Drosophila melanogaster: one gene and its partner. The protein of the gene in region 1 interacts with the protein of each later gene in a pairwise test. Each region holds a gene or a part of one and is shown on either strand. Other genes may lie near its edges.

Evidence for each region. Proteins that work in one complex are often made in the same cells at the same time.
Region 2: the proteins of CG3225 (region 1) and eEF1beta interact in a two-hybrid assay, tested with the Drosophila melanogaster proteins (one large-scale study listed by BioGRID).

Annotation. Positions count from the first base shown.
Region 1 is NT_033779.5:4,814,702-4,820,809, reverse strand, and holds CG3225 (uncharacterized protein), read left to right. Parts: upstream 1-2,564; 5' UTR 2,565-2,643; coding exon 2,644-2,772; intron 2,773-2,836; coding exon 2,837-2,928; exon of another isoform or gene 2,929-2,994; coding exon 2,995-3,088; intron 3,089-3,146; coding exon 3,147-4,868; 3' UTR 4,869-4,894; intron 4,895-4,918; exon of another isoform or gene 4,919-4,952; 3' UTR 4,953-5,027; coding exon of another isoform or gene 5,028-5,130; 3' UTR 5,131-5,186; downstream 5,187-6,108. Other genes in the region: CG15629 (uncharacterized protein), read right to left, coding at 5,028-5,130, 5,187-5,787, 5,923-6,040.
Region 2 is NT_033778.4:16,866,566-16,869,780, reverse strand, and holds eEF1beta (eukaryotic translation elongation factor 1 beta), read right to left. Parts: upstream 1,560-3,215; 5' UTR 1,470-1,559; coding exon 1,390-1,469; intron 1,291-1,389; coding exon 702-1,290; 3' UTR 501-701; downstream 1-500. Other genes in the region: CG6426 (uncharacterized protein), read right to left, coding at 179-260; Psi (P-element somatic inhibitor), read left to right, coding at 2,384-2,455, 2,535-3,215. UniProt on the Drosophila melanogaster protein: EF-1-beta and EF-1-delta stimulate the exchange of GDP bound to EF-1-alpha to GTP.

The DNA.
Region 1 (6,108 bases):
AGGAGTTCGGCTTTTGTTTTGCACGTTGCCATTGCCCAGCGGTAACTGTACACCGTGCCGGATTGGGATATGCGTTTTCAAAACACATTAGCGGCAACAAAGGCAGAAGTGGGAAAAAAAAACTGTAAAAAACAGTGGAAAATGGCCACGGCGTCAGCGCAATACGTATACGCCACGTAGCGCCGCCAGTTTTTGGAGCACGTGTCACCAAAGCCGGTCGCTCTCTTTCCACCTTTCACTCTCTCTCTGTCTCTCTCCCTCCAGCTCTCAGGACACAGGCGGCCTGTTGTTTTTGTTTACGCCGCTCAGCTGTGAGGACCTCAAAATCCTTGTTGCCGAAAAAATCCATTTTAATCGCCGCCGTTTGGAGTGATATGCCATCCGAAATCCGGCCAACTTGACCGGAAAGCCATACGGGCGGCCCAAGGTCGCGTGTGCAATTGACATTTTTATTGACATTAAGTGGTGCAGGGACTAGTTTCGGTTTCAGTAGTTCCAGTAATTAAAGCGGATGAAGACGCGCCAAAAAACAACGCCCGGAGTGCTAGGACTCCAAAATGCACTGTGCGAAATTGAAAGCTGATATGGGATATCCTAACTACGATGAAAAATTGGGATGCAAAGGTAAGCAGAAGATAACCTTACTTTTCCATATTAATTTCCAATTAAGCGTCACCATTTTTTTTCGTGTGCACTTTGTGTGTGCTGCATTTGAGTTGCGACTTTGCCGCCCTGCCACATGCATCATGAATCACGCAAATTCGCGGCACGCAAAGACAATGACGCCAGCCCCTTTTCGCACCACTCGCTGGGTGTCGAGGACGCACAACTCCGGCGTTTGTAATCAGGGTCGTCAACGCGAAACTATAGTTATAATACGTAGATAGAACAAAAGGAACGTACCCTCCACTGGCATTTCCAAGGAAACTTTGCTCGTAAAAGCCGGAATAACAGTTAGCATTCATGCCGCCCTTTAAGTTTTGTGGCATTTAGTCAGGTGCCCAAAGACGGGGGAATCGGAATTTGGATACCGGCAGTGGAGTGCCGACAGCCGTTTGACAGTAAAACTCTGGCCTTGGGCGCATCTATTAAAATTTATATGCAACCGAAACTGGAACTGGACGCCAAACGGACAAGATACACACTGTGCGAAAATGTGACAGCCTCCCATAACCCGCAATGTAACTAAATATTCACTTAACTACTATTAAGTGGGATAGAAGGCAAATGAAATGACTAATCCATATGCACAGCGGAAATTATTATATTTTAGTATTTGCAATTTAAGATGTAGTACTAAATACTGAAGCATCGTTCTTAACACTTTTCGAAACTATAATCTTTCTCATGTAGCGAAGATACCTCTTTACCTGTGATGCTGATATCAGCTTGAGTGGAAAGTGAAAACATTTTTTCTCAGTGCCTTTTAGTTGAAGCACTTTCCGCGGACGGCGGTGTTGACAAACTGCTCGCAGAGTTTTTGGCTTTCGCTTGGCTTTGGCGACTTGGCGCCTCGTCCTTGGCATGAAGTTCGCCGCTGGCCTTTAATTAGCTTTTCTCGGATTACTCATACGCCATGGGGGCTGGGCTCGGGTCGAGTGGAGTGGAGTGGAGCTGGGCTCCATTGTTTCAGCACTGGCATGCGGATGTGGTTGGTCAAACGTGCATGTCGGGCACGTGTTTTGCTTTGGCTTGAAATTGGTGGTTGGGTTCGGATCGCATCGGATGGGGTTAAAGTTAAAGCGAGCGTTCTTAATGTCAGGGTCAATGCAGAATACGGGGGTCCTGCATGTGTGGAATCGACGGCCATCTTACTCGTCCCAATATTGGCGGCATGCATATAATACCCACTGACGGTGCATAAATCAAAATATATACAAAAAAAAAAATACAAGCGGGCAAAACAATGTGTGTGTTTTGTTGCTCGAGAGATACAATACAATATTTATTCAAAAGCAATTGGCCGGGCGCTTCTGTCGCCGACAGCTGCACAAAACTCGGGGGACACTTTTGACACACACACGTGGCCAGGGCGACCTTATAGTACATAATGAGTTTGCTGGGTATGCAGAGGAGCAAAGTGGCCTTGCCACTGGCAATTAGAGTTATTTTCACTAGCAATAGGGGACATGTCGGTGCTGCAACGTGCCCGCAAAATGGACAAAAACATGTGCATGAATAATACAGGTGAATGTTATGGACATTTGCCACCATTGGGGCTCGTGAAATGGTCGACTAAATCAAATATATTATAATTTGTGGGTACCAAAGGTATAAGCTTGAGGTACTAGCCAAACAATTTCTAAAAACTAATATTTTGCATTTTTAAATCTTAACTAAAATATAGTGAAATTTGATTATCCTCTTTTCTTATAGACCTCAACTAGGCGACTGTATACTTAGTGATTAAGTAAATACTTAGGTTTTTGGGCAATTCAACTTATTATATAGTTGATGGTTATCGTTAATCGAAATTTCAATACAATGCAATTTCCCGCCAAATAAAAGTGTGACCATTAGTTTATATTAAACGAAATTCCTAACATTCTTTTGCGCGCTTTGGTATTTTGCACCAATGCATTGAGTCCATCAGCTGTTTATTTAATTTCAAAACTGAATCTATAACGAAGTAAATAATTGAAAATGAGCACTTTTAAGCCAAAGTTCCTAAAACCCGAGACGGACGATGCAATCACAGATAGTGCCGGTGGTGAACAGCAGTCCTCCGCCTTTGTATTCAATGTCAATCACAATATGGGACTCATGGAGCAGGTGGGCTTACAAAATATTTCGTAAACATTTGCTAGAATAACAAATTAAACTTAAATTATTACAGAGGGAACGTTTGCCCATTCGTCAGTACCGGGATCAAATACTTTACTGCTTGGAAAAGCATCAAGTGGTCATACTAGTGGGTGAAACAGGCAGGTTTGTATGGAATTCCATGAGCTTCAAAGTAATGCTTCTAACTCTGTGGTTTTTCATATTTCCCAGTGGCAAGAGCACCCAGGTGCCACAGTATTTGTATGAATGGGGCTGGCACACCAAGGGACTCATTGGCATCACCGAACCACGACGCGTTTCCACCGTAAGTAATCCTAAAGCAAAGCAACTATAAAATCTAAAACTAAAGACTTCATTTCCAGGTTACGCTGGCTAATCGCGTGGCACAGGAACGCGGCGAACTGGTAGGTGACACGGTGGGCTATGTAGTTCGCTTCCTGGAAAGCATGAGCTCCTGTACCAAAATCAAGTTCATGACCGAGGGCATCTTGCTGAGGGAAGTCCTAGCCGATCCGCTGCTCACCCAATATGGTGTTATCATCGTGGACGAGGCGCACGAGCGGAATATGCTCACCGACATGATTTTGGGACTGCTCAAGAAGATCCTTCGCAAACGCAGCTCGCTCAAGCTCATCATTTCATCGGCCACCATAGATGCAAGCTTCTTCAGCGAGTTCTTCAGCTGGCCAGGATCGGGCGAAGTGAGCGTTAAGCTAAGCATTGAAGGTCGCATGCATCCTGTGAGTAATTTCTATCTGAACGAACCCTGCGCCGATTATGTGAAGGAAACTGTGGAGACCGTCTGGAAACTGCATCAAAAGGAGCCGCCTGGCGACATTTTGGCCTTCCTAACTGGCCAGGAGGAAGTCCTGGAGGCGCTGGATCTTCTGCGCGAATACATCGCCAGTTCGGAACAGGAGAATCTCAAGGTGCTGCCCATGTATGGTAGTATGTCGAGCACTGATCAGTTGTCGGTATTCTTTACCCCGCCCAAAGGAACCCGCAAAGTGGTGCTGGCCACGAATATAGCAGAGACCTCCATCACCATTCCGGGCATTGTTTATGTGATAGACTGCGGCTACGTCAAGGTAAAATGGTACAATCCCAAAACCTGCAGTGACAGTTTGGTTATAGTGCCCGTCAGCAAGGCGTCGGCCATCCAGAGAGCAGGACGAGCGGGTCGTATGCGTCCCGGCAAGGTCTATCGTTTGTACACTAAATCAGACTATGAAGCACTAGCTCCTCGGCAGCCACCCGAAATGCGACGCAGCGAATTGAGCGGCGCTATCTTGCAGTTAAAGGCGCTGGGCATCGGGAACATATTGCGCTTTGATTTCCCATCGCCACCACCGGCACAGAATCTACTTTCCGCACTGGAGAGTCTATTTGCCTTGGACGCCATCGATGAGCAGGGCAATCTGACGAAGCCCGTGGGTTACCTGTTGGCCGAACTCCCCTTCAGCGCTATGCTCTCCAAAATGCTCTATGTTTCCGGTCAGATGGGCTGCTCCGAGGAGATCATAACCATCATTGCGTTGCTGCAGGTGCAGTCTATATTTTCGCGCCCAGCTTCAGCGGTTGCCCAACAAAGTGGACGCATTGCACATCGAAAATTCGAAGTTGCGGAAGGGGACTTTATTACGATGTTGAACGCTTACACTGGCTTCGTGGAGGAGGGCATGACCAAGGAGTTCTGTGGCCAATACTTCCTCATCTACAGGAATCTTAAGAGGGCCCACTCGCTGAGGGAGCAACTCATCACAGTGGCCAGAAAGAAGTACGGCATTCCAATCTTCTCGTGCAAGGGCGATGTGGAAAAGTTGTGCAAGTGCATCACCGCCGGCTTCTTCACACAGGTGGCCTATCTGCATCACTCTGGAGTTTATAGACAAATCAGCAGCGGCACTGAACTGGCCATTCATCCGAACTCCACTCTCTACACACTTCCTCAAGCTCAGTACGTGGTCTATGGGGAACTGCTCCAAACGACGAAATTGTTCATGAACTACGTGACCGTAATCAAGAGAGAGTGGCTGACGGAGCTGGCGCCGCATTATTACCAACAGACCACAGTGCGGGATTAGCAGGAACTAAAGCCTTAATGATAGGTGTAAGTCTATTAAAATAGTTCATTAAATCAAATAACTAAGTTTATTGTAAAATTATAGGTGAAACGATGCCGCCTCTTGAAAAAGAACTTAAGCTTAGGTAATGGATTCCATATGATGATTCCTATTGTGTGTTTAACCAGCGGCGACGCGCCCTCGTCCCTGAAACATCATCATAGACTCGGGTCCACGGATGACACGCGACATCAGCTCCCAGCACATTTTGGCGGGCAAAAGACTGAGAAAACCAGCATTAATTACATTGTATATAACTATGTTAAATAGACTACTTACCATTTGAGAGGAGTGAGCAGGCGAATAGAGTTGGGCAGCACGCACCACACCTCGTTGCAGCGCACGGCGTTCTCGATGCGATCCGCCACATACTGCGGCTCCAGCATGGGCATCATCCGCGGCCGAACACCCGAAAACATGCCCGTGTTGATGTAGTACGGGCAGATCAAACTCATTTGGATTTGATCATAGCCATGGGCCTTCAGATCGGTGAGCAAACTCTCGTGGAAACCGATGCAGGCGTATTTGGTGGCCGCGTAGTCACTGCATCCGTAGGTGCCCAGCATTCCAGTTACCGAGCCCACAGTAACGATATGACCACGATTATTGCGCATCATGTGAGGCAGAAACGCTTTCACGGTCCAGTAGTGCGATATGATGTTAATGTTGTACGTGTTCTGGATGACCCGATCGTGCAGCTCCCAGAAGGGTTTGCAGCACACGATACCGGCATTGTTAATCAATATGTCGACGGGACCAACCTCCTCGGTCACCTGGCTGGCACGCTGGTAGATCTGCTCCCGATCTGAGATGTCCACAACGTAGCCCTTGCAGTTGTCATAACCATGTTTGGCCAACAAATCCACAGTTGTCTTTATGGCTGTGCGGAAAATTATGATCAAATATTGTTTAGCTAATCAAATTGTAAATGTAACAGCTTTCACTAGCCGTCGGGTTTTTTGACCCGCCTGGCAGAAGCTGTGACGGCGTCATTAGCAACTAGGTGTGATTTTACCTTCTTGATTTATATCCCAGATGACAATGCGGGCCTGAAGGCGAGCAAAGTTTAGGGCAATCAAACGTCCAACACCACCGCCTCCTCCTGTGATGAGCACCACCTGGCCGGAGATGTCCTGTTATGGATAATAATGAACAAGCAATCGTTTATTATAATATTGAATTTCGCATACATACATATGTA
Region 2 (3,215 bases), on another chromosome or scaffold:
ATATCTATACAATTGCTAATTAATGTTAATGAATGCAGACGATCAGGTATTTGTATATTTCGTGTTAAAAGCAAATCTCAGCAAATGCGTAACAAATACGTCTCGCGAACAATAACAAGAACGGAAATGTTCTCGCCTATATAATGTAAATATATAGTTTTCGATGTATTTAACTCACCCTGAGCTTGAATGAGGGCTGCGAATCCCAGACACAAAAGAGCGCCAATAGCCAAAGTGCAGCACAATTTGTTGGCAGCCATTATAAGCAGTACTTGTGTCCGAAAAATATTTGTTTGCAAATGCAATTTGAAAAGTCACTGAACAGTATCACAACTATCTGTAAACAACCGACCTCTATCGAGCTGCCCGATCAACTGAGCTGAAAGTGCTACGAGCTTCGCTTTTTTGTTGACAAAAGCTCGCCGAAAGCTTCAAAACGGAAGACTTAAGCTGAGAACTTGAGAGAGCCAGCAAGCCAACTAAAGAGATTAGAGATTTTTACCGATTATAAAAGTATACTTTTTGGTGAAAATTACAAAATTTCAATCATTATTCCAATAAAACTGATGTGTTTTTACAATCTGAATTATGATTGGCTTATTGCAGCTTTCATGTGAAATATTTTATTTAAATATGAAGACAACTATATTTGCTTAGTTCGCTTTGCTCAAGTTTATTGTTAATATAAGAATCTCAGATGTTTAGATCTTGTTGAAGGCAGCAATGTCGACAGACTGAACAAAGTCCTCGAACTCCTCGATCTTCTCCTGCAGCAAATCGATGGACACCTTGTCGTCCTCGATGACGCACATGATCTGCAACTTGTTGATGCCATAGCCGACTGGGACCAGTTTGGAGGCGCCCCACAGCAGACCGTCCATTTCGATGGTGCGGACATTGTTCTCCATCTCCTTCATGTCGGTCTCGTCATCCCAGGGCTTGACATCGAGGAGCACCGACGACTTGGCAATGAGGGCGGGTTTCTTAGACTTCTTGGCGGCGTAAGCGGCAACTCGCTCCTGCTTGATGCGCTCGGCCTCCTCGTCCTCCTCGTCGTCGGATCCGAATAGATCCACATCGTCGTCATCGTCGGCGGCGGGCTTGGCAGCAGCAGCCACTGTGGGCTTTCCACCGGCCAACTGGGGCAGAGGAGTACCCGACCAAGCGGCACGCTCAGCGGCCTCAAAGGAGGCGATGTGGCGGTACCAGCGGGCCACGTTCACATTGTCGGCAGAGGGGGCCTTGCCCAGAGCATCGAACACGGACAGATCGGCCTTGCTGGGAGTATATCTAATGGGAGTATAGTAATGGGTAGAAAATTATTCGATCAATACATCTGCCGACGTGGTGAGGTCGTACATAACCTCACATTTAATGACGCGTGCTTACCCGCTGATGTAGCTGTTGTCGGCCAGGAAGGCGTTCAACTCCTTCAGTCCCTGCGGGGTGGTCACATCACCGAATGCCATTTTAAATGCGTTTTTGTGGGGTAAATTCGCGTTTAACAAATCTGGAGCCGTGCTCTGCGCAACGTTGCCGACGAAAGAAGAACAGAGTGACCTTCGCGGGAAACGGTCTTTAAACATATAATGAAAATACTGACTTTTTCCTAGTATTTCAAGTAGTTGCAACACAGGGTGACCCGGAGTTTGAGTAAATATCGTTCAAATATACCATACATTCAAATAGATTTTTAACGCTTACTTGTATTTTTTTTAATAAAACATAAGGATTATAATTAATACCTTATACTTAAGCTAGCTATTGGCTACGTAAATTTAAGGCCAAACAATTACATTTAATATTCTGAAAAGGAAAAAAATTGTATAGAAATTGTATGCTTCTACTTTGTAACTTGTGAAAACAATATGCATTTCCTTGGGCAAATTCACACAAATTGGGAGCTTGGGCTTAATAGAAATTAAGTTTAAGTAGATCCTTTACTTTCAAATAAATTCATATAAGTCATTGAATATTTAATTTAACACAAATATACCAAAAGCGCGGACTAAAACCGTGAATATCTTATGCGCAGTGTTACCGTTGCAGTGAAAATCATGAGGGTGAAAAAACGCCTCCAATCAAGCTATAATGCTACACAATTTTTTTGCAAACGCATAATTTTCACTGAAAAGCCGAAAGAAAAATTAAAAAAAAAAACGTAGAAGCGCATGAAAAAAACGGCTCAACAATAAGGCAGAGTAGACATTCGAAAGCCACTTAAACAAATGCCATAGGAAGCGTTTATAGTATTTCCTCAGCATTTGTGAAAAAATCGTCGCTTTCGGCTATTGAATTTTCAACGCGTGCGGTCAAACAGAACAAAAAAAAAACAAGTGGTAACCATAAAGAACCGAATTGAACCTATTATAAACCCAGAACTATGAGCGACTTCCAGCAACAAGGCATCAATCAATCGCAGGCACTCGCGCAGGCAATTCAGCGTGCCAAGCAGGTGAGTTCCCACCACTTGGAAGAGGAAGAAGCGGAAGTGGGCATTGATTCGGCTTCTTTTGCCCCAATCCCCAAACCAGATCGCAGCCAAGATCCAGCCCAGCCAGCAGGGCGGCGGCACAGCGGGTCCATCGCCACCGTCTTCGGGTGGAGGGCCTGGCTTTAAGCGTATCAACGACGACGGCGACAGCGGTCCGGAATCCAAACGCTCCTTGGGCAGTCCGGAGTACGCCAACAACAGCTCCAACATGAGCAGCGGTAGCGGGGGTGGTGGTGGCGGCGGCGGAGGTCCCGGCGGTGCCAGTATTACTCAGGCAATCGCCCAGGCTGCTGCGGTAGCCGCTCGTTTGGCCGCCTCGGCGGGAACAAGCTGTGAGGAGCAGATCCGTCTGCCCGAATCGGTAGCCGGCGCCTTTATGGGTCGCTCCAGTAACGACACCATCACCCACATCCAGGCCGAGTCCGGTGTAAAAGTGCAGGTCATGCAGGATCAAGATCGCGTTATCATGTTGCGTGGTCAAAGGGATACAGTCACTAAGGGGCGCGAAATGATTCAGAACATGGCCAATCGGGCTGGCGGGGGACAGGTGGAGGTGCTGTTGACGATCAATATGCCGCCACCGGGACCTAGCGGGTATCCACCTTACCAGGAGATCATGATTCCGGGCGCCAAGGTGGGCTTGGTCATTGGCAAGGGCGGCGATACCATTAAACAGCTGCAGGAGAAGACCGGAGCCAAAATGATCATCATCCAGGACGGA